Linked DNA regions of Macaca fascicularis. The main gene of each other region encodes a partner of the protein of the gene in region 4 in a complex. Links are inferred from orthologs where the notes say so. Each region holds a gene or a part of one and is shown on either strand. Other genes may lie near its edges.

Region 1 (4,774 bases), on a different chromosome or scaffold from region 4:
CTGAAGCACTGCATAAAATTTAAAATTAAAGTATGATGAAAGAGCAGAAACCACTAGGTGGAAACTGAGCAAAAATAGTTTTCACATAGGAAACAGAAAAATGTAAGATATGCAGAATGTATAGAGTTCCTATAAATCCATAAGAAAGCAAAAATAACCAATAGAAAAATGGATTAAGAATATTAATTGGCGATTCATACAGTCTATAAATGCCACTAAATATATAAGAAGCTGCGCAACCTCATGAGTAACCAGAAGCATCAATAATGAAGGTTAGTGAGGTATCATTTTATCTCCATTAAACTGGCAAATTTTTTTAAAAGATTGATAATATCCATCATGGACTACAGCATGGAAAAACTTTCAAATTATTTTAATTGGTTGAGCCATTTTGGCAGTACTTATCAAAATTAATAACGTGCATAGTCTTTAGATATATTCCATTTTGAAGAAACCAGTCAGAAAAACTCCAACATGCACAGAAAGATATACATAGGAGGAACATCGACAGTTATGGCAGCATTATTTGTAAGAGAGGAAAGGTGGGAACAACATAAGTATTCACCAATAGGTAAATGTTTAAATAAAATGGAACGAGAAATATACATAAATTATTCCATTAAAGTCTTCAGCCATTAAATACGAGATATATTAGGGGAAAAAATGCTGGGAAAAAAAAAAAAGTAAGTTGTAGAAGAGTATTGTCCCTATGATCTCAATCATATTTAAGAAATCCAATCCAATTAAGTATGTGTGCGTGCATACTGCTTGCATATGCATTGTAAGGCTCCAAAAGGTTCTGCACCAAACTGCTATAGATTTAATACCTGCAAAGCCTTGGCCTGTGTCTGACAAATAGAAGTGCTATTTGAGTTGGCTATTTTTGTGTATAATTATGCATTTCTTAATGATAATGCATTCCTGGATTACTTATGTTACTAAACGTAAACGTATTGGCCAGGCGCGGTGGCTCACGCCTCTAATCCCAGCGCTTTGGGAGGCCCAGGCGGGCGGATCACCCGAGGTCGGGAGTTTGAGACCAGCCTGACCAACATGGAGAAACCCCGTCTCTACTAAAAATACAAAATTAGCCAGGCGTGGTGGCGCACGCCTCTAATCTCAGCTACTCGGGAGGCTGAGGCAGGAGAATCGCTTGCACCCGGGAGGCTGAGGTTGCGGTGAGCCAAGATCGTGCCATTGCACTCCAGCCTGGGCAAGAGCGAAACTCCGTCTCAAAAAAAAAAAAAGTAAACGTATTTCAATCATTTTAATACTCTGCGCCCAACTGATGGCCAAGGGTAAGGCCCGTTCATTACTACTTTCTCCATCCCAAATCCAGCAGAGTGCGTAATGGACACAAGGTAAACAATCCCTGGAAGAATTTTGCGGAATCCCACCCGACCCCTCCCAGCCTCCCCTCAACCAGTGCGCGAGTGCGAGGAGGCGGTGCCCAGCGCTCCACCGCCCCGCCCTCCTCGGAGGCGAAGACGTCACTGAGCGGCGACGCGCACTTTTAAAACGTGTTTGTGACCCGCCTTCCGTAAGGAAGCGGTTAACTATGGCGACCGCCACGGAGCAGTGGGTCCTGGTGGAGATGGTTCAGGCACTCTACGAGGTGGGCTCCGCGCCGTGAGCGGTCCGCGACCACACCCGGGCCTGGGGAGGGTGGGACGGCGCGTGTGGATTTGTGGCCTGGGACCTCGGCGGGACTGGCTCGGTCACGCCCAGACTCGGCGTCTCTTGCTGGAAGGACTGCCGGGAGCTTCTATTCCCAGCGGTTGAGTGTAGGGAGGAACGGGTGGGGGCTGGGACCGAGGGTCTCGGTTTGAGTTCTTATGCTCCGGGTCCCCTGGAGGGTCAGGAAAGGAACATGTGTAAGGGGTCGCAGGAGACAGGTCTGCAAAAACCAGAGTTTAGACGGACGATAAAACGAAGTGGTGAAAATGAGTGGAAAACCTTGGTCTGGGAACGTCCTGAGGAAGTCAGTTCTTTGGAACTATGGAACAGTTCGTTGGGGAATAAAATTGTAATAAATTGGAGTTTGTTTTTGTCGAAAAGAAACCAAGTGATTTAGGATCTGTGAATAAGAAATAGTTTGTCATTCTTCTGCGCACGTCAGTTTTCTATCTTATAAAGATACAACTAGTTTAGTAGATACTTATTTATTGAGACGGAATTTCGCTATTGTTGCTCAAGCTGGAGTGCAATGGCGCGATCTCGGCTCACTACAACCTCCGCCTCCCAGGTTCCAGCGATTCTCCTGCCTTAGACTCCCAAGTAGCTAGGACCAGATACCACCACACCCAAGTAATCTTTTTATTTTTATTTTTTAAATAGAGACGGGGTACTTGCTATGTTGCCCAGGCTGGCCTCGAACTCCTGGCCTCAAGCAGTCCTCCTGCTTTGGCCTCTCGAAGTGCCGGGATTACAGGCATGAGCCACCACACCCAGCTGCAACTGAATTTTAAATTTCACTTAAATAGCCCCATGTAACTTAGTGACTGTCCACATTGGACCACACAAGTCTAGATGCTAGGGATAGTGCGGTGAACAAATAGGCAAAAGTGCCTGTGCCTATAGAGCTTACATTCATTTCAAGTGAATTTCACGTTACTTTTAATGACTTAGTGTCACCAAACTTCATATCACTGTCTACTGGTAGGGGTAATGATGGTGTCTTCCATTGCAGGACATACTGGAAATTTTATCTTGAAACATAGCAGAGACAGCAGATATGGCTCTGTCTTATGCTCATATATTAAGTGATGCCCAATATTAGATTAATTATAGTGACCTAAAATGAGTCACTAAAATTGAATAATCTTTTTTATAAATGATTTTTTAAAGAAATGGATTATTTTCTGTTAAATGTTGTTTGCTTCCTTTTTGAAGATTGACAGTAATGTAACTTTTCATTCCCCAAAACTGTCCAGCAGTGAGACTTGGGAGAACTCCTTTATGTAACATTTCCTGGGAAGGAAAAGAAGGGGCGTTTGTGATTTTTATTCACTAGACAAATAGTTTCTCAACTTAGGTGATTTCTTTTTGGAGTGAACTCTTAACTAGTGGCTTGGGTAGATGTTTGCTTGCTAGAATCCAACTATTGAGAAAACTAAAAGGGTATTTAGACATTCATAAATGAATTGTATTTAGGGGGATGAGCAAATTTTAAAATTGATAAAAATAAACTTCTTACTCCCAATTCCTATGCACATTGAATGTAGAATATGAGTATCTTGTATAGTGTACCCAAAAAAGAAATAACCACTGAAATTAAATAATCTGATAGTTGATATTGTTTTAAATATTGGGATTCTGTGTTAGATTTTATTTATTTATTTATTTGAGATGGAGTTTTGCTCCTGTTGCCTAGGCTGGAGTGCAGCAGTATGATCTCGGCTCACCACAACCTCCACCTCCTGGGTTCAAGCGATTCTCCTGCCTCAGCCTCCCAAGTAGCTGGGATTACAGGCGTGCGCCACCACACCCAGCTAATTTTGTATTTTTAGTAGAGACAGGGTTTCTCCATGTTAGTCAGGCTGGTCTCGAACTTCCTACCTCAGGTAATCTGCCCACCTCGGCCTCCCAAAGTGCTGGGATTACAGGTATGAGCCACTACGCCCGGCCTAGATTTTATTTTTTAAATTTTTATTCCCAAAGAAGTTTTAAAAGCTAAAAATATTAGGGGTTTTTCATGTGAAGGAGAAATCGCCTGCTATTAGAAATGGGGAAAGGAATGAATAGAAATTAAGGGAGCTTCTAAAGTAAATTGTTACGAATAGGCTAAAAGTCATAGGCGGCAGTATATGCAGGTGTAGTAAATTTTATGTGCAGGTGTTAGAAGTGTATGGTTCATTTCTTACTTGTATTTGACTCACTCTTAGGCTCCTGCTTACCATCTTATTTTGGAAGGGATTCTGATACTCTGGATAATCAGACTTCTTTTCTCTAAGACTTACAAATTACAAGAACGATCTGATCTTACAGTCAAGGTAAGAAATTAAATCTGTTTTAATTATTGAGTATGTGATTATAGTTGCTCTGTCCTTCCAGAAAGGATTTTTGGTGGCTCAACTATGTGTGTTAAAGCATTTTCTGTAATGTAAGGAAATCAAGGGGAATGAAATATCAGGGTAGGCAAAATATGGGGAAATCTAGAAATAAAGTCAGTACCCAAATGAAGACCATATTATGTCTTGGATACTTTGCTAGGAGTCAACAGCAGTCTTGCAAATAGATGGTTAGAGGAAGCCTGAGCGGCTGCTGGAGTTTGAATGTTCATATGAGGGTTGTGTGAGTTGCTGCAGAATAGCACAAGTATTTCTGAAGTGTGGGATGAAGTCTCCCCTGTGGGCTTCCTGAAGGAGAGTCAGAGTAGAAAAGAATCCTCCTCATACCCACCCCACATGGAATTTTGATGTGTTGTGTATGGTAAAGAAAAAAAAATTCTGAGCATAGAAGTTAAATTTTCATAAATTGTCAAGTCACCCACAAAACTACATGGAAAAGAGCCTCTAGCTCTAGTGATAAGGAAAGAGGCGCGCGTGGTAAGTGCACAAAACTCACAAGTGATTCTGTTTTTATTCTAGCCACACCTAGACATGGTATTTCTAGCAGTGTATTCCCTGTGACTTTTGCGTTGCAACAGACAATTTTGATACTGCCGAAGTTGATGTAAAGTGACTGCGCCTGAAAAGCTTCAGGGGGTTTGAATAAGGATAGCTACGATAACAAGTGCTATGTGGCTTACAGAGGAATAAGCGATAAGTGATGT
Region 2 (4,281 bases), about 43 Mb from region 4:
CCCCTCTGCAGATCCCTAAAGTGCTCTCATCACACCCCCGCTCCCTGCTCCTGTACACTGCCCAGCAAATTCTAGCCCCCGCAGCCTCCCCAGCTCTGATCTCAACGGACAGCTCTCCACTCCAATCTCAGATGTCCTCAGCTGGCAAGACTGGGCCCTCCTTCCCTGTGCAGCAGCCTGTGGCCTGCCTTCAGGCAACGCAGTCTGGCACTCCCCGTGGCTCAGTGTCTAAAAGTCATTGTTTATGTACTTTGTCCAGTTTCCTATTGTTTACAGCAGGAAGGTAAATCCAGTCTCTAGTACTCCATGACTGAAAGAAGTCTCATCTTCTAAATGTAGATTAAGCAGGTATTGATATTTCTAGGGGGAAATTAGGGTACTTGGCTCATCAGTTCCCAACATACTTAAATATAACACACTTTAATATCTGCTTTCTTCTTTGTAACTTAAATGATGACATAAATGATGCTCTTCAGTGTTCACACGAGGCTAATCTAAGCTTGAGTGTTTTTCTCTGATCAACTTGAAATTATCTGCATAAAGAGTATTAATTTTGACTTATTTGTGGCCAACTTATCTAGAGTAGCTTCCCATGAATGATGGATATGTTAGTATTCCAATTCTAAGGACATTTGTTAGCTATCTGTATGTCTGGCTAATTTGTCATAAGAACTTATGTATCATGTTTGGATTTTTAAAAATAAGAACTTTGGCTGGGCATGGTGGCTCACGCCTGTAATCCTAGCACTTTGGGAGGCCGAGGTGGGCAGATCACAAGGTCAGGAGATCGAGACCATCCTGGCTAACACGGTAAAACCCCGTCTCTACTAAAAATACAAAAAATTAGCCGGGCGAGGTGGTGGGCGCCTGTAGTCCCAGCTACTTGGGAGGCTGAGGCAGGAGAATGGCGTGAACCTGGGAGGCGGAGCTTGCAGTGAGCCAAGATTACGCCACTGCACTCCAGCCTGGGCGACAGAGCAAGACTCCATCTCAAAAAAAAGAAAAAAGAAAAAAAAATTGCTGATTTTATAATCTATATATGAAAATTACTGCAGCCTTTTTTATTCATGAGTATTTATGGTTGAGAAGATTCTAAAATAGTTCTTAGCCTTTTACAAGTGGATCTTTTAAATTTATTGCATTGCTCTGTATAACAGAACAATTATTTGGATATCTTTTCAAAGATCAATTTACCATAATGTCAAAACCTGCCCAATTATTTAGTCAGTTCGCAGTTACAGAAATGTGCGTTTTAATCCATTTGTGTTTTAGGGAAGATGAGCACAATAGGATTAAAGATACGACTTTATACTGTTACAAATATGCTACTGCTGTCTGATTAGAGTTTTAAGGAAACAGGCAGGGTGCAGTGGCTCACGTCTGTAATCCCAGCACTTTGGGAGGCCAAGGTGGGCGGATCACTTGAGGTTAAGCGTTCGAGACCAGCCTGGCCAACATGGCGTAACCCTGTCTCTACTAAAAATACAAAAATTAGCTGGAAGTGGTGGTGTGCGCCTGTAACCCCAGCTATTCAGGAAGCTGAGACAGGAGAATTGCTTGAAGCCGGGAAGCAGAGATTGCAGTGAGCTGAGATCGTGTCGTTGCACTCCAGCCTGGGCAACAGAGCGAGATGCCGTCTCAAAAAAAAAAAAAAAAAAAAAAAAAATTGTAAGGAAACAACAAAATGAAACTCAGAAGATGAAAATTTGAGGGACTAAATTGCTTCATCTCTGGTCTCATGTGTAAAATTTATTTGCATCACAGTTGATTGGAATGAATCTTAAAGTTAGAAGACGTAAATTCTAGTTGAAGCTGTGCCACTTGCTACTTGTAATGTGGCACCTACTGTTGTGCAACTGTAGGCATGTCACCACCTTGGTGAGAGTCTCTTGACCTATCATATGAAGATAATCATAAATACCCTGCCTACTGTCAAGGGATTTGTGGAGTGCTCAGTGAGGGGGTATGGCTGAAATTCTTTGAGGATGCTAACGCTCCATTAAACGTTTTTTACATTATTATAACTTCTGCTGTTAACAGGTAGAATGACAGAATACAAAATGAGACATTTTACATTTATAGTCCTTTCAGTTTACTGTGTAAAATATTTTATGGTGAAATGGGAAAAAACGAAACAGAACTGATTAGGTAGAATGGAGATAGAGGAGATTGCTGTCTTTTTTTCCATTCCTTTTTACTTAATATTATTTTGTTTTCTCTCACCACGACTTTGCAGGTAAAGAGTGTGTACAGCAGTTAGCCGAAAACACCAGGTATTTCAGGAGACGCCTGAAGGAGATGGGCTTCATCATCTATGGAAATGAAGACTCTCCAGTAGTGCCTTTGATGCTCTACATGCCTGCCAAAATTGGGTATGTTTTGTTGCAGATCACAGACTAGTCTGTCCTTATACTTATCTGTGATGTGAGACTAGGGCTTATGTATTTCGTTAGGGAAAACGGTCTTGTCCTTATTGTGTTAACCTTCATTTGGTACATATGACATAGATCAAATAGTGAATTCCAAATTGTTAGGTATGTTAATTTGTTGTTCTTTCATTAAACATTTGAGTTTCATGTACTCTCTAGGGGCCTGGGATAGATCAGTGAATAAAATACAAACATCTCTGTCCTTGTAGAGCTTACAGTCTAGTAGGGGCAACAGTCAGACAGACGTAATAAATGAACTGTGTACTATGTTAGAAGGTGTCAAGTGCTATGGAAAAAAATAGAGCAGGACCTATATGGGGAGTTGAGAGTGCCCTGTGGGCGGGCAGATAACACTATTAAATAGCGTGGTCAGGGTAAGTAAGCCTCCATGGGAAGGAAAAATGATTTGAAGGAGCTGACAGTTAACCATTGGAGAAAGAAGCATCTGTGCAAAGGCCACAGTGCAGGAGCGCGCTTGCTTAGGTGACCTAAGAGTAGCAGAGAGGTCCCTAGAATTGCAGCACAGTGTCCCAGGGGGAGCAATGGGCCATGAGGTCAGAGAGATTTTATCAGAGTGTGTTTGTTACTGGATACTTGCCAGGTGTGCAGATTACACCAGCTTCTTTGGTTTGTACGAGGCATACATAATGGAAAGTCTTGCCCTACGATAGCTTTCAATGTATTTGAGAAGTCCAGATATATAATGAAACCAGAAGACATTTGAAAAGCAAATGAACAGTAATTATACTGAACAAATTTTATTATATGCAAAGTGGCCCTGCAGATGCAGAATAAAGGAGCGACCTGCTGAGTACAGGCTCAGTAAGAAAGGCACATCTCGTTGGATGGGTGAGTTTTGAGCTGGATCTTAAAGCATTTCTCCAGTTTGAACTCATTGAAGGAGCAATTTTTAAAAATTTTTTAATCCCCCGTGTCCACCACAGTCTCCAACACTCAGTAAGTGTTTACTGAAATGAAAAGGGGGAGGAAATTAAATCAGGGAGCCTGGAAGTAATGTGATTCAAAGAAAATGAAAGGGAAGTAAGGAAAAGGTCCTCCCTGAGAGAAAAAGAGGAATTCGGGTTTCAACATGAAGTCATATGGGTAGTTAGTATTATGGCTTCAGAGGGGATATGGGGAAGGATTTTCTTCATTCTTCTTTAAGTGGAATTCTCATAAACAAACACGAAGAGTTATCAGATCCAAAGGACTCAGTCTAGAGCTCTCTCTTTAAAGAAGGCTGTGTCTCCTTTATTCTATATAGGTGCAACTGACTGTGTATACTTTAATTAGGAAAGATTTAGAGAAGGTGAAGAAGAATTAGAATAAGGCACTAGACAGTTTGGGAGCCTGTGCTGAAGTTACAGGGCACCCAGGTTCATGCTGACACAACGGAGGTATGTTGAGGAAGATGTACCAGTACTACAGAGAGTGGGAAAAGGCTGAAAAGGCTGGCATTAATGTAATGCCAAATGTGCAGGATCTATATTGCCCAGGCTGGAGTGCAATGGCGTGATCTCGGCTTCCTGTAACCTCCACCTCCTGGGTTCAAGCAAATCTTGTGCTTCAGCCTCCCCAGTAGCTGGGTTACAGATGTGTGCCACCACACCTGGCTAATCTTTGTATTTTTTAGTGGAGATGGAGTTTCACCATGTTGGCCAGGCCAGTCTCCAACTCCTGACCTCAGGTGATCTGCCCAGCTCGGCCTCCCAAAATGCTGGGATTACAGGTATGAGCCACTGGCCCGGCCAGATTTTTTAATTCTCAAACAAATGCTGTAAATAGCTTAAAGGAGAAGTTAAAACATAAGGGAGGTCAACAAGAGGAAAAGACAAAGAACAACGTAATTTGG
Region 3 (4,480 bases), on a different chromosome or scaffold from region 4:
CACCCAGGAGGGGTGCCTTCCAGGTCCGGGCAAAGGTTGTCGCTAGTCTGTTGTTTTCTTCTATCTTCCTCCCTCCCCACTTCCCTCTTTGTACCTGATCAGTCCTCCTAAGTTGGGGTTTGGGGAGATCCAGAATTGAAAAAATTAGAGGAGGTGAGTGGATGCAGTGACCTCAAAATAGTTCGTCCACTGCTGCCTGTACCCACAGGCCTCACTTCTTTCCCTCCTGATGGGAAGGGCTTAAGAGTGGATGTCCCACATCAGGCCCTCAGTGAGACACAGTCCAGCAGGGGTTGTGCTGAGTGAGAATTCTGTCTCTGGGGCTTTGTCGGCAGAGGGTCCTCATGGGAGTGCCATAGGGGGTGAGGCTGGGGGATGGGCCTTGACTTCTCTGCTCTGGGCTGCATGCCTCTTGATGACCTGTCCTCCAATGCCCTGCCAGGGCCCTGTCCCAATGGGATAATGCGTGGGGCAGCCTGCTGTTTATCCCAGCCCAGCAGCAGGAAATGAGTAGAGCTAAGTCCACATGGACTTTCTCCACCTTCCATGCTTGAGAATCAAAAGAGTGGAACTGCCTGGAGTTCTCAGGGAAGGAAGAGCCTGCCTCCCAGTGGGATCCGAGGGTGAGAGGGGGCAGGGAAAGCAGTGTGACCTGTCTGACCTGTGCTGCTTGTTTGCAGAACAGTGGAGAGGGGCAGCAGGATGAATGTGGGCACAGCGCACAGCGAGGTGAACCCCAACACGCGGGTGATGAACAGCCGTGGCATCTGGCTCTCCTACGTGCTGGCCATCGGGCTCCTCCACGTTGTGCTGCTGAGCATCCCCTTCGTGAGTGTGCCTGTCGTCTGGACCCTCACCAACCTCATCCACAACATGGTGAGAGCCTGCCTGCTGCCTGCTCCTGCCCTCTGGGCTGCTCTTTGGCAGGGCTGAGGGATAGGAGGAGCCTGTTGGGCCTGGCCCAGATGTCAGGGTGACGTACTGACGTCTGCCTCCAGAGCCCAGGCCTAGTCCTTATCTCTCTGCCTTGCTCCCCCTTCTGGGTTCCTGCCCTGTGTACCATGATAAGAATCAAATCTGCAGATTTTTCCACATCTCTCAGGTGGGGTGGCTGTGGGCCTGGAAGATGTGCCCCTGAGAGCTAAACAAAGGACTCCAGAGAGTTCCTAGGACCCGGGAGTCCTGGTGCCTAGGCTGGTACAGAAATGCCCCTTTCTCAAGTTAGCTTCTCGAACCGTCTTCTACTCTTGCCCTTCTCTGCTCCCTCACCACTTGCTACCTTGCCCTCTTTGGAGGGTAAGCAGGGTTTAGTCCCATCTGCTTGCCTCCTCCCAGCAGGCACAGGGGGCTATGAGTGGCCTGGAGGGGCAGCATCTCGGTGCCTGTCTCGTGGCTACGCATTCTCGTGCCAGGCCTAGCCTGTCCCCCAGGGAGTCCCCTTGTTCTTCTCCTGCCAGGCTCCCAGCTTCTTCCTGACCTCCAGCCCACATCCCCCTGCCCAGCAGAGGGAGGCTCCAGATCACTGGGAGTTACTTCTGTCTGTGACTGGGTGGAGGAACTGGGCAGGGGGCCCTTTTCCCTTTTGTATCCTCTAACAAAGACCTCGTCCTCCAGGGCATGTATATCTTCCTGCACACGGTGAAGGGGACACCCTTTGAGACCCCGGACCAGGGCAAGGCGAGGCTGCTAACCCACTGGGAGCAGATGGACTATGGGGTCCAGTTCACGGCCTCTCGGAAGTTCTTGACCATCACACCCATCGTGTTGTGAGTGCCTGGGCTACAGGAAGACACCAGCAGGCAGGGCAAGGCCTGGAGGACCCCAGGGCCCAGTCATGCTTATTAACCCTGCTGTGGCTCCTGGTGTAGGGATGAACAGAGGAAGTTGGAATATTCCTGGGTCTTAGACTGAGCTCAGGCTTTGGGCCTCCCTGGCCCCGTCTTTCCTCCATTGGAGCTTTCTTCCTGCTAGTGAGATAGGCCCACAGGCTTGGGGTGAAGTTGGGAGGTGGGGGCCCCGCTGGGCCGGGAGGGGCCTTTTTAGCCTGAGAGCTCTTGCTTCTTACTCTGGTCTGGGGACCTCTTCTGTAACTCCTTAGCCGTCAGGATTCTGCCTTTCCCTACACAGGAAGTGAGGGAGGAAGGGGTCCTCCCAACAGTCTTTTATCTCTCTCCTCACCCTTCCCCTCCCAGGTACTTCCTCACCAGCTTCTACACTAAGTACGACCAGATCCACTTCGTCCTCAACACTGTGTCTCTGATGAGCGTGCTCATCCCCAAGCTGCCCCAGCTCCACGGAGTCCGGATTTTTGGAATCAATAAGTACTGAGGGTGCAGCCCCTTCCCCTGCCCAGGGTGGCAGGGGAGGGGTAGGGTAAAAGGCATGTGCTGCGACACTGAAGACAGAAAGAAGAAGCCTCTGGACACTGCCAGAGATGGGGGTTGAGCCTCTGGGCCTAGTTTCCCCCCTGGCTTCCCCCAGTAGCCAACTTGGAGTAGCTTGTAGTGGGGTTGGGGTAGGCCCCCCGGGCTCTGACTTTTTCTGAAGTTTTTGATCTTTTCCTTTTGCTTTTTGGATAGAGACTCCATGGAGGTGGTCATGGAATGGGCTTGGCTCCTGGGCTGAACATGGACCACGCAGTTGGGACAGGAGGCCAGGGGAAAAACCCCTGCTCACTTGTTTGCCCTCAGGCAGCCAAAGCACTTTAACCCCTGTGGAGGGAGCGGAGGGCGGTACGGCTTCTGGATTGTGTCACTGTGATTCCTAGGTTTTTTCGATGACACGCAGTGTGTGCTTTTGTGTATGGAAGCAAGTGTGGGATGGGGCCTTGCCCTTCTGGGTAGAGAGCTGTCTGATCCAAGTCTCAGGCTTTTGGCAGCTTCCCTGCAGCGCACCCGGGGCCCTGGGTGGGAGTGGGGAGGGTCAGGTGGGGGGAGATGGGGTGGAGTGTGGATGGCTTGGTCCCAGAGGTGAGGGGCCAGGGTTGCTGCCATCCTGGCCTGGTGGAGGTTGGGGAGCTGTAGGGGGTTAATGAGTCGAGACTTAGAAGAATGGGGCCACATAGCAGCAGAGGACTGGTGTAAGGGAGGGAGGGGTAGGGACACGAGCTAGACCCAGTCTCCTTTGGGATGTGGGCAGGGAGGGAAGCAGGCTTGGAGCGTTGATTTACCCACAGAATGTGATAGTAATAGGGGAGGGAGGCTGCTGTGGGCTTAACTCCTGGGTTGGCTGTTGGGTGGACAGGTGGGGAAAAGGCCCATGAGTCATTGTAAGCACAGGTCCAACTTGGCCCTGACTCCCGCAGGGGTACGGGGAAGCTGTGACAGAAACAATGGATGCTGTGGTCCTCTGCAGGCCCTCACCCCTTAGCTTCCTCATGCAGACTGGCACTGGGCAGGGCCTCTTATGTGGCAGGCACATGTGGCGCTGTGAGGCCACCCCACGTGGGGTCGGTGGTGAGAGTCCTGTAGGATCCCTGCTCAAGCAGCACAGAGGAAGGAGCAAGGCGTGGCCTGTAGGCACTGTCTCAGCCTGCAGAGAAGAAAGTGAGGCCGGGAGCCTGAGCCTGGGCCGGGGCCTCCTCCCTCCCCAGTTCGACTAGGGACAGTGTTAATTTTGAAAAGGCGTGGGTCCCTGTGTCCTCTTCCAGGGGCCTGAGGGAGCAGGAGAGGTCACTGGGCCTGTTTTCTGCCTCCTGGCCCTGCATCTCCCACCCCATGTATCATAGGGAACTTTCACCTTAAAATCTTTCTAAGCAAAGTGTGAATAGGATTTTTACTCCCTTTGTACAGTATTCTGAGAAACGCAAATAAAAGGGCAACATGTTCCTGTTTCCCTGTGTCTGGTCTCTGCTTCCTGGAAGGCTGAGGGGAGGGGGCAGGGGTGTGGGCACAGCTCCGGCTGAGGTGCTGGTGGGGTATCAGTGCAGCTCTGACGGTGGCGGGAGGGGCGCTGGGACTGCTGGGCTTTCTGCTGGCTTCAGCAGGGAAATCCCCCAAGGGGGCTGTGAGGGAACTGGCAGCGACGGCAGCAGTAGTCAGAGAGCAAAATTCTCTGTGCTTTTGCCTGGCTGTTCTCCGACTGGTCTTGCGCCTTGACCCCACAGGCTGGGGTGACCTGTGCCGTGGCCAGGGAGGGGGGCAGTCCGGCAATGGTTTACACATGGAACCAGGGTCCCAAGCAGTGCCCAGTCCTTCCCAGTAAATCCCCAGCCCTTCTCCAGTTTCTCACTTCTCTCCCCAAGGCCTTTCCCCAGTCACCTCTCCCCTGGGAGTGCTGTGTTTCCTTCTGGCCTTTCAGTGGAGGGGACTTTTCATACTTCCTGCTCCCACCATAAGCCTGAGTGGCAGGGGAAGAGGTTCTGGGGACTTTCTGAGGCCACCATGGCTAGGAGAGAGGAGTCCTATAGCAAGGAATCCTTATCTCACGAGGGCACTGACCTTCCAGTGTGTTCTGCGCAGTATGAGCTGCTATTCTCAGG
Region 4 (4,281 bases):
ATGAATTAATAAAGCATGACCCCAGTTCAAAAGCAGTTATTCCTCTTAGCATCCTATGTAACTGTGCAAAGCCAAAAGCCCTTAGATTTGACATAATTTTTGCTAGCAGTATTTTGTGTGGCCCCAGAGGAGAGACCTCTTGTTGACTTCCATATATGCAGTTTCAGTTCCTTTTGTAATAAAGGAGCACAGTACAGAAAGGTTATTGTTTAGGTTATCAAGATGACTTTTATTTGAAGTTGTTGCAAATAGTAGCAATAGTGATAATGATGTTTAATAGTGATAATAATAAATAAACGTTTGATAGTAGCAGTTGCTGTCATTTTATATATCCCTAAGCTAGTGTATGATTGATTTTAGCTCTGTGTGACTCTAAAAATACTTTTAGCCACATTCTAGTCTAACTAATTCTAAAATTCTTTGATCATACATTCTTATTAGTTAAGTTGGTAGATCTTTTACAGTCATTAAATAGAATTTTATTCCTGTATATTTATTTCTTAGGTAGAACAGTGTCACATCCTGTGCTTCATTTTAAGCAGTCCTGCTGGGTGCAGTGGCTCACGCCTGTAATCCCAGCACTTTGGGAGACCGAGACTGGTGGATCACCTGAGGTCAGGAGTTTGAGACCACCCTGGCCAACATGGTGAATCCCTGTCTCTACTAAAAATACAAAACTTGGCTGGGCGTCGTGGCGGGCGCCTGTAATCCCAACTACTCAGGAGGCTAAGACAGGAGAATCGCTTGAACCCAGGAGGCAGAGGTTGCAGTGAGCCGAGATCATGCCACTGCATTCCAGCCTGGGCAACAAGAGCAAAACTCCGTCTCCAAAAACAAAAAAAGAAAAAAAAGAAAAAAAAAAGAGAAGAAAAAAAAACATTTTAAGCAGTCTGATGTTTTTGACTACACAGGGAGAATAACAGTACCTACCTTATATGGTGGTAGTAAAGATGAATGAGCTAAAAACAAAACAAAACAAAACAAAAACCAACTTAGAATGGTGCCAGGCATAGTTGTTAGTAGCTAGCATTATCGTTCTTGTTTTTTTTTTTTTTATCAGTGCTTGATATAAATGAGAAAGTACTAAGTGAATGGGTACTTCATCATAAAAGAGTTGTTGAAAACATGTGGGGATTTAGTTTTGAATAAATTAATAATAATAAGTTTCCTTAACTACAACTCAGATTCAATGCTGGTTTCCATTGTGGGGATGGCACTATACACAGGATACGTCTTCATGCCCCAGCACATCATGGCGATATTGCACTACTTTGAAATTGTACAATGACCAAGATGCGGCAGGATCAGAGGTTCCTTGGGGAAGACCCACCCTACGAAGTTGGAATGAGACCATCAGATGTGATAAGAAACTCTTCTAGATGTCAACATAACCAACCTTATAAAGACTAAAATTCATGAGTAGAACAGGAAAATCATCCTGACTCATGTGTTGTGTTCTTTATTTTTAATTTTCAAAGAGGCTCTTGTATAGCAGTTTTTGTCTATTTTAACATTGTAGTCATTTGTACTTTGATATCAGTATTTTCTTAACCTTTGTGACTGTTTCAATATTACCCCCGTGAAAGCTTTTCTTAATGTGACTTTGAGTACATTTTAATTGCCTTCTATTTTTAAAACTCAAAATCATTAGTTGGGCTTTACTGTTCTTGCTATTGTATGGCATATACATCTGCCTGGATATATTTCTACTCTTGACCAAAGTTTTGTAAGAACAATATAAGATTTCGGGTAGGGGTATGGGGAGGGAAGATATTTTATTGAGAACTACTTACAAAAGATCTGTAAGCTTGAACTCAGGAGTACAGTTTTAGCTATCTAGACTCTAACAGCTTTTGCTTTAAAATTATTAAATTGTTTCTTAATGAAAAAGAAAAGATCTTGCTAAAGTTAAAATAAAGAACGTTTCACCTTTTAAATATTTTATTCTTATGTGGACTTATTTCCACAAAACTTTGGTGATAATTCTTGAGACAAAAGGTGGTTAAGTAGCATTATTATGTAATGCTTATATACCATAGAGTTTTTAATAGAAGAGAAATCCATTTCTTCTGAGGGTCACTATTAACAGTGGACTTCCTTAAATTTAGTTTAATGATTGTAATGGGTGCTGCATTTGCACATTGCATTAAGTTATGATGAGACGAATTGTTGTTAAAAATTATAGCAAAAAGAAATGTAAACTTGGTTAAAATCTTTTCACTCTTTGTATTGTTTTTTTTAAGGTTTTTATTCCTTAAATGTAAAATGACTACCTAATTTTTTGATGTAAATACATTAAATTCAAAGAGAAAAAAATCAGCTGATGTAGCAGTATATCTTTTCCTTAATGGTTAAATATTGATCTAGTATTTACATTTCTGAATTATTTCTGTGGAGGACCAGATAAGCAGTAAGTATGTTTTATCCTATATGTCTTGCAACATGAAAATGTTGCTAATTTTAAAAAAGTAGGCATTATGTGTGTGTGTGTTTTTTTTTTTTTGAGACGGAGTCTCACCCTGTCGCCCAAGCTGGAGTGCGATAGCATGATCTTGGCTCACTGCAACCTCTGCCTCCTGGGTTCAAGTGATTCTCCTGCCTCAGCCTCCTGAGTAACTGGGATTACAGGCACGCACCACCATGCCTGGCTAATTTTTTGTATCTTTAGTAGAGATGGGGTTTCACTATGTTGGCCAGGATGGTCTTGAACTCCTGACCTCCTGATCCACCTGCCTTGGCCTCCCAAACTGCTGGGATTACAGGCGTAAGCCACCGTGCCCGGCCAAAATTGAGGTATTTTTTGCCCAACATTTTAAGGACTAGACTTTTGAAGTATTTTATAGTCTAGAGGTCTCAAGTAATATATACATGTTTAATATTTTTAGAGTCAATTGATATCACAATTAGGAATAGTGAGAATAATATGTAATTACTTGGTTTGAAGTAGTTAAAACTTGGATATGGTTATATCTGAGCTATGGTCATACTATCTCAAGAAAAATAATATGAGGATTTAACTTAAGATTTGTTCTATTAATGCCCAAATTTGGCTTTCCTCTACTATCCCCCATAGAGAACCACTAACAAGTGGATGTCTAATATTCCTGTGGTGAGTTGAAGGCAGGAAAAGTCGAGAATCATTAGTTTCAATGGGTATCCAGATGACCTATCCTGGCCCTCTACTCAGAAACCTGCAATTTGTCCTCACTCTGCTGAAATTCATTAAATTGCTGTTGTATAACTGATGGTTATTATGAACACTGACCTGTGAGACATACGGAAGATAAAATTTAGTCTTACAGGAAATCTTTAGGAGAGTCAAAAGAGAAATGGGAGCATGTCTCTTGAGAGGTGATCAGGGAAGTTTATGCTCACTGTCTGATGCAAATGTCTAGTCTATTTGTTAGTAAATAACAAACAGGGAAATAATTTTCACTTTTTGTTTAAAATAAGGTATTTACAAGCATACCTTGTAGTTATTGTGGGTTCAGATTCAGACCACTGCAATAAAGTGAATATCTCAATAAAGTGAGTCACATGAAGTTTTTTGGTTTTCCCCTGCATATAAAAGTTACATTTACACCATCCTGTAGTCTATTAAGTGTGCAATAGCGTTATGGCAAAACAAAAACAAAAACAAAAACAAAACCCATATGTACCTATCTTAATTAAAAAATTATCTATTGCTAAAAAAAGCCAATGATTATTTGAGCCTTCAGCAAGTCATAATTTTTTGTTGGTGGAGGGTCTTGCCTTGATGTTGATGGCTGCTGACTGATCTGGGTCATAGTTGCGGAAGATTGGGGTGGCTATGGCAATTTTAAAAAATAAGACAACAATAAAGTTTGCTGCATTGATCGACTCTTCATTCATGAAAGATTTATCTGTAGCATGTAATGCTATTTGATAGCCTTTCGCCCACAATGGAACTTCCCCCAAAATTGGAATCAATACTTTCAAACCCTGCTGTTGCTTTATCAACTAAGTTTATAAAATATTCTAAATCCTTCGTTGTAATTTCAACAATGTTCATAGCATCTTCAGCAGGAGTATAGGCCATCTCAAGAAACCACTTTCCTTGCTCATCCATAAAAGGCAAAATCTTGTCTGTTCAAGTTTTATCGTGAGATTGCAGTAATTCAGTCACATTGTCAGGCTCCATTTATAGTTCTCTTGCTATTTTTAGCAACTACAGTTAACTCCCTCACTGAAGTTTTGAACCCCTCCAAGACATCCATGAAAGTTGGAATCAACTTTCCAACTCGTGTTACTGTTGATATT
Region 5 (4,281 bases), on a different chromosome or scaffold from region 4:
GTGCAGTACCTGGGCATCAGTGCCCACACCTACTCCCCAGGAGATATCTCCCTTCCCTACTTCCTCCTCCCAGCTAGTGCTGCTGACCTGCAGAAAGACTTAGAGATGCTTGCCAAGTTGACCTGAACTTTACTTCCCTCTTTCTAGCGGAAATTGATGGATTTCACGCCTGTCTCTTTTCAGGGTTGCAGAGAGTACGGCAACTTGCGAAAAACACAAGATACTTCAGACAAAGACTGCAGGAAATGGGATTCATTATCTATGGCAATGAGAATTCTCCTGTTGTTCCTCTGCTTCTTTACATGCCTGGTAAAGTAGCGTAAGTATCCAAGGCATCTCATAATCACACCTAAACCCCAAGGTGACCTAAGATGGCTTTTTGGCACAGGCATCAGATTATGCATTTGGAATGGGGTGATTGAGTTCAGAATTCACTCATACAGCTGCTCAGAAGCCACCTGCCAGCCTATCAGCTAGACCCTTCCCACAGGTCTTACAGAAAGGGAACCAGGTGCTAAGATTGAGCTGTCTCCCTAAATTCAAGTCCTGTGAAATCAGGGAAATCACTTATCTCCCTCAGCCTCACCTGTAAATTAAGCACGATCCTGAGCCTCCTTCTGACCCAAGACCATTCTCAGGGAGAACTTCTGAAGATCATCTCTCCCCATATTACCATCAAAACAATGTGATCAGGCTCTGTGCTTTCTCCCATTGAACTCTGTGGCCATCCTCAGAAGAGGACATTCTCACTTCAAGCATGGGGAAGCTGAGGCTGAGAGCAGTTAAGCAACCTGCCCCAAGTCATACAAGTCAAACAGCAGTAAAACTAAGATGCAAAAACCCAAACCAAGGCTCACATTGAAGCTCATGCTCAGTTTCTCATGCCCTTACTGTGAACCTGTTTGGGGGTTGTTTACTTGATTGTAACTTTGAAACTGAGCATTAGCAACAACTGTATAAAGAGGAGAACATGACTTTTTGTCAGTTTGGCAGGGACAATTTTATACGTGAGTCCTTCTCCAACCTACTAGAGACTAATATAATTAGACTAATTACATGTTGTTAAGAGGAAGTTAACTAGCAGAGCACATTGGCTCATGCTTGTAATCCCAGTACTTTGGGAGGGTGAGGCAGGTGGATCACCTGAGGTCAGGAGTTCAAGACCAGCCTGGCCAACATGGTGAAACCCTGTCTCTACTAAAAATACAAAAATTAGGTGGACGTGGTGGTGCATGCCTGTAGTCCTAGCTACTAGGGAGGCTGAGGCAGGAGGATCACTTGACCCCAGGAGGCAGAGGTTGCAGTGAGCTGAGATTGTGCCACTGCACTCCAGCCTAGGTGACTGGGTGATAGAATGAGACCCTGTCTCAAAAAAAAAGGAAGTTAACTAAAATCCTTTCTGAAGGTAAAATGTTTGTGTCTCTGACCAAGCACATGATAGAAATTCATATTCAACATACTATGCATCAAATTCTAGTGGTCCTAACTCCCCTCCAGTGTAACCCATTGCTGGAACTTTGTTTGACTCTCTAATAGCCTGACTAGATTGGCAGAGTACTTGAAGTATAGAAAAATACCAATCAAAGAGGCTTGGGGCTTACTCATGAAAACTCACAGAGGGCAAGACTGAGTTTTAAGTTCCTAAAAGACTGATTCTTCAGACTATGTCTTGGGCCATTTTACCACAGCAAAATCACAAGCAGTTAAAACACACATGAGTTTTTAGCATGCCACATCATTCCCACCAGTTGGCCCTTTGTTCACAGATTTGGTCAGGAAAACAGTGCCTGAAGTGTCTGAGGACATAATGTGCCACAGAAATGTTATACATCGTACTGCTGTGTGATAATGTCAAGGAGGGGTGACAACGGTGACTGAAAGTAGCAGACAATCCAAAGGCCTTTAACCACCTGATTTTTGAAGACACACAAACACACACACATGCACAGACACACATACATTTATTCAAAATGATTGGGGAAATGATGTGTGTTGGAAGAAATAGTCCAAACTTAGCTCAGGTTTATCTAGTATTTTATCATTAGCTCAAAAGAAGGCACTGAAAATAAACGTGTCCAAGGTAAAACACACATAATTCTGGAGTGTTACACTGACAGTAGGGAGTGTTCTGGATAGTTCCAACTTTAATAACAAAAGCCAGAATTAGAATTCCAACAGGTTGGAAAACTGAACCAACCCAATGAGAAGAGTCCGTAAGTAGTGAAAACAAATGCACGTAACTTCAAGAATTCATACAATATGCTATGAACAATATGCTTCATATAAAAGTTATGCTCTATGGTGTGGTGAAAGGTTTGGAATCAAAAAGAAATTTGATTATTCCTCTTCCTAGCTGGGGATTCTTGGACAAGTTACTCAGCTTTCTGAAGCTCCAGCTTTCTCATTTATAAAATGGGACATAATAGTATCGATTTCATAAGGTTACTGTGAAGATTAAACAAGATGATGTCCATAAAGCAGTTAGCCTGTTACCTCTTATATAAGAGCTATTCAGTGTTAGCTGTCATTATTAATAGCATTAATCAATAAAGTCATTAATAATGTCATTTTTAGTAATGTGTACAAAGCACCTAATATAGTAGTTGGCGTGCCCTAAGCATTCAATCAGTGGTAGCCATTTTACTACTACTACTCTGCAACAATGATGATCATTATCAGTTTCAACTGAGTACAAGGTTGAGTCACCATGGTTGCACAGCTCTCCAAAATAATTATTACAATTTTTGGTTGCATTACGAAAAATAAAACGTCCAGAAAAAAATAGTAGGTAAAGATCCTGCTACACTCCACTTCCATATTGCTATATTCACTGGATAATATGTCAAACCATCTTGTTTCTTTCAACTTAAGATTGTTTTTTAAGAAGAGCTAATATCACAGAGTACTAAATATATGCTAAGTAAGGCTATTAGACCTCAGTGATTACCCATGGAGGGTAGGATGTTTAGCCCTAGTTTATATATGAAGATGCTAAGACTTGGAAAGGTCAAATTACTTTCTAAGGCCGGGTGTGGTGGCTCATACCTGTAATCCCAACATTTTAGGAGGCCGAGGCAGGTGGATCACCTGAGGTCAGGAGTTTGAAACCAGCCTGGCCAACACAGTGAAACCCTGTTTCTACTAAAAATACAAAAAAAAAAAAAAAAAAATTAGCTGGGCATGGTGGCAGGCACCTATACTCCCAGCTACTTGGGAGACTGAGGCAGAAGAATCGCTTGAACCCGGGAGATAGAGGTTGCAGTGAGCTGAGATCACACCACTGCACTCCAGCCTGGGCAACAAGCATGAAACTCTGTCTAAAAAAAAAAAAAAAAAAAAAAATTGCTCTCTAAGACTCACACAGGTTGCAGGCAGCAGAGCCTAGAATTCAAAGCCAGTTTCATTGGCTTCATAAATTAGAGCTCTTTTGAACACAGAACACAATCTCTCAAGCTTTAGTCCATAGGGAAAAAATGCACATCTCATTAAAGCAACACAGAGTATAACTATAACTATTTTTAATGTCATCATTGGTGATTCAAAAGGCAGCAATCACTACAAACAGAAAAAAAAAAAAATCTGGCTCACCTAACGAAACAGAACAGGTTAGTTACAAAAGGTAGTATTATCTGTTACCGGTAGGAGTTGCTGGCAAGAGTTTGCCCTGCTGTCTGGCTTTGTTCCCTTCTGTGATATTTCTTTGTTGGAAGTTTATAGGTAGAGACGTTTTTGAAATAGGGTGTTAATTGTATAAGCCAGTGTGGAAGCACTTCTTTCATTTGGTCATTTTAAAACCTTTGATTTTACTAAAGAATGGTGATCTCCACGTTTCCTCCTATGCAGAATGAAAACATAGTCTGTAGCAAGTTATCCTTTTGAACAAAGCCTTGTTATAAGTCTACCACTGGAATCTTCTAGAGAGCTGTGTAATGTGATTTCACCCATAAAACATACTTAAATAATCAAGAATGTATTGTATTTGGTATTTGGTAAAGGGTTTGCATTTTTCTTCCCCTGTTCATGTAATACACTTGGAAGATGGTGTTATACAAGAGGTAGTGATTCTGCATACAATGCAATGCTAATGTTTATTATCATTATTATTATTATTATTTCACATAGTTTAGTTTCTTTCAGCCTATTGCCAATTGCTTCGGGGAGTACAAACACAAAGGCTCATTATATAAAATTTCCAGTGCAATCATACATATTAACTTAAGAACACTAGCTTTAGTAGTGTAAGGTTTAAATTCAGAAGTGCTCCAGGGAGACGCCACATTA

What was found.
Region 1: SPTSSA (region 4) and SPTLC1 share a complex: the UniProt entries of both Homo sapiens proteins name them as parts of the serine palmitoyltransferase (SPT) complex. The link is inferred for Macaca fascicularis from reciprocal best matches to the Homo sapiens genes SPTSSA and SPTLC1.
Region 2: the proteins of SPTSSA (region 4) and SPTLC2 are in contact, whole or in part, in a cryo-EM structure (PDB 7K0K), measured with the Homo sapiens proteins. The link is inferred for Macaca fascicularis from reciprocal best matches to the Homo sapiens genes SPTSSA and SPTLC2. Residues at the interface, in NP_612145.2 of Homo sapiens: Trp15, Tyr18, Gln19, Leu21, Leu22, Val23, Thr24, Ala25, Tyr27, Met28, Leu29, Glu30, Pro31, Trp32, Glu33, Val36, Phe37; in NP_004854.1 of Homo sapiens: Leu73, Gly77, Val80, Leu81, Phe84, Leu87, Arg88, Leu91, Leu126, Arg129, Ile130, Tyr156, Met475, Pro476, Ala477, Lys478, Gly480, Ala481, Arg484, Glu485, Asp533, Leu534, Leu535, Gln536.
Region 3: the proteins of SPTSSA (region 4) and ORMDL3 are in contact, whole or in part, in a cryo-EM structure (PDB 7CQI), measured with the Homo sapiens proteins. The link is inferred for Macaca fascicularis from reciprocal best matches to the Homo sapiens genes SPTSSA and ORMDL3. Residues at the interface, in NP_612145.2 of Homo sapiens: Ile44, Tyr50, Thr51, Val54, Phe55; in NP_001307730.1 of Homo sapiens: Val36, Leu38, Ser39, Ile40, Pro41, Phe42, Ser44.
Region 5: SPTSSA (region 4) and SPTLC3 share a complex: the UniProt entries of both Homo sapiens proteins name them as parts of the serine palmitoyltransferase (SPT) complex. The link is inferred for Macaca fascicularis from reciprocal best matches to the Homo sapiens genes SPTSSA and SPTLC3.

The regions. Positions count from the first base shown.
Region 1 is NC_088389.1:122,396,419-122,401,192, reverse strand, and holds the start of SPTLC1 (serine palmitoyltransferase 1), read left to right. Parts: upstream 1-1,520; 5' UTR 1,521-1,558; coding exon 1,559-1,615; intron 1,616-3,884; coding exon 3,885-3,992; intron 3,993-4,774. UniProt on the Homo sapiens protein: Component of the serine palmitoyltransferase multisubunit enzyme (SPT) that catalyzes the initial and rate-limiting step in sphingolipid biosynthesis by condensing L-serine and activated acyl-CoA (most commonly palmitoyl-CoA) to form long-chain bases.
Region 2 is NC_088381.1:145,474,104-145,478,384, reverse strand, and holds part of SPTLC2 (serine palmitoyltransferase 2), read left to right. Parts: intron 1-2,236; coding exon 2,237-2,372; intron 2,373-4,281. UniProt on the Homo sapiens protein: Component of the serine palmitoyltransferase multisubunit enzyme (SPT) that catalyzes the initial and rate-limiting step in sphingolipid biosynthesis by condensing L-serine and activated acyl-CoA (most commonly palmitoyl-CoA) to form long-chain bases.
Region 3 is NC_088390.1:60,982,766-60,987,245, reverse strand, and holds the end of ORMDL3 (ORM1-like protein 3), read left to right. Parts: intron 1-680; exon of another isoform or gene 681-685; coding exon 686-876; intron 877-1,614; coding exon 1,615-1,766; intron 1,767-2,192; coding exon 2,193-2,328; 3' UTR 2,329-3,832; downstream 3,833-4,480. UniProt on the Homo sapiens protein: Plays an essential role in the homeostatic regulation of sphingolipid de novo biosynthesis by modulating the activity of the serine palmitoyltransferase (SPT) in response to ceramide levels.
Region 4 is NC_088381.1:102,233,037-102,237,317, reverse strand, and holds the end of SPTSSA (serine palmitoyltransferase small subunit A), read left to right. Parts: intron 1-1,184; coding exon 1,185-1,288; 3' UTR 1,289-3,528; downstream 3,529-4,281. UniProt on the Homo sapiens protein: Component of the serine palmitoyltransferase multisubunit enzyme (SPT) that catalyzes the initial and rate-limiting step in sphingolipid biosynthesis by condensing L-serine and activated acyl-CoA (most commonly palmitoyl-CoA) to form long-chain bases.
Region 5 is NC_088384.1:74,212,188-74,216,468, reverse strand, and holds part of SPTLC3 (serine palmitoyltransferase 3), read left to right. Parts: intron 1-183; coding exon 184-319; intron 320-4,281. UniProt on the Homo sapiens protein: Component of the serine palmitoyltransferase multisubunit enzyme (SPT) that catalyzes the initial and rate-limiting step in sphingolipid biosynthesis by condensing L-serine and activated acyl-CoA (most commonly palmitoyl-CoA) to form long-chain bases.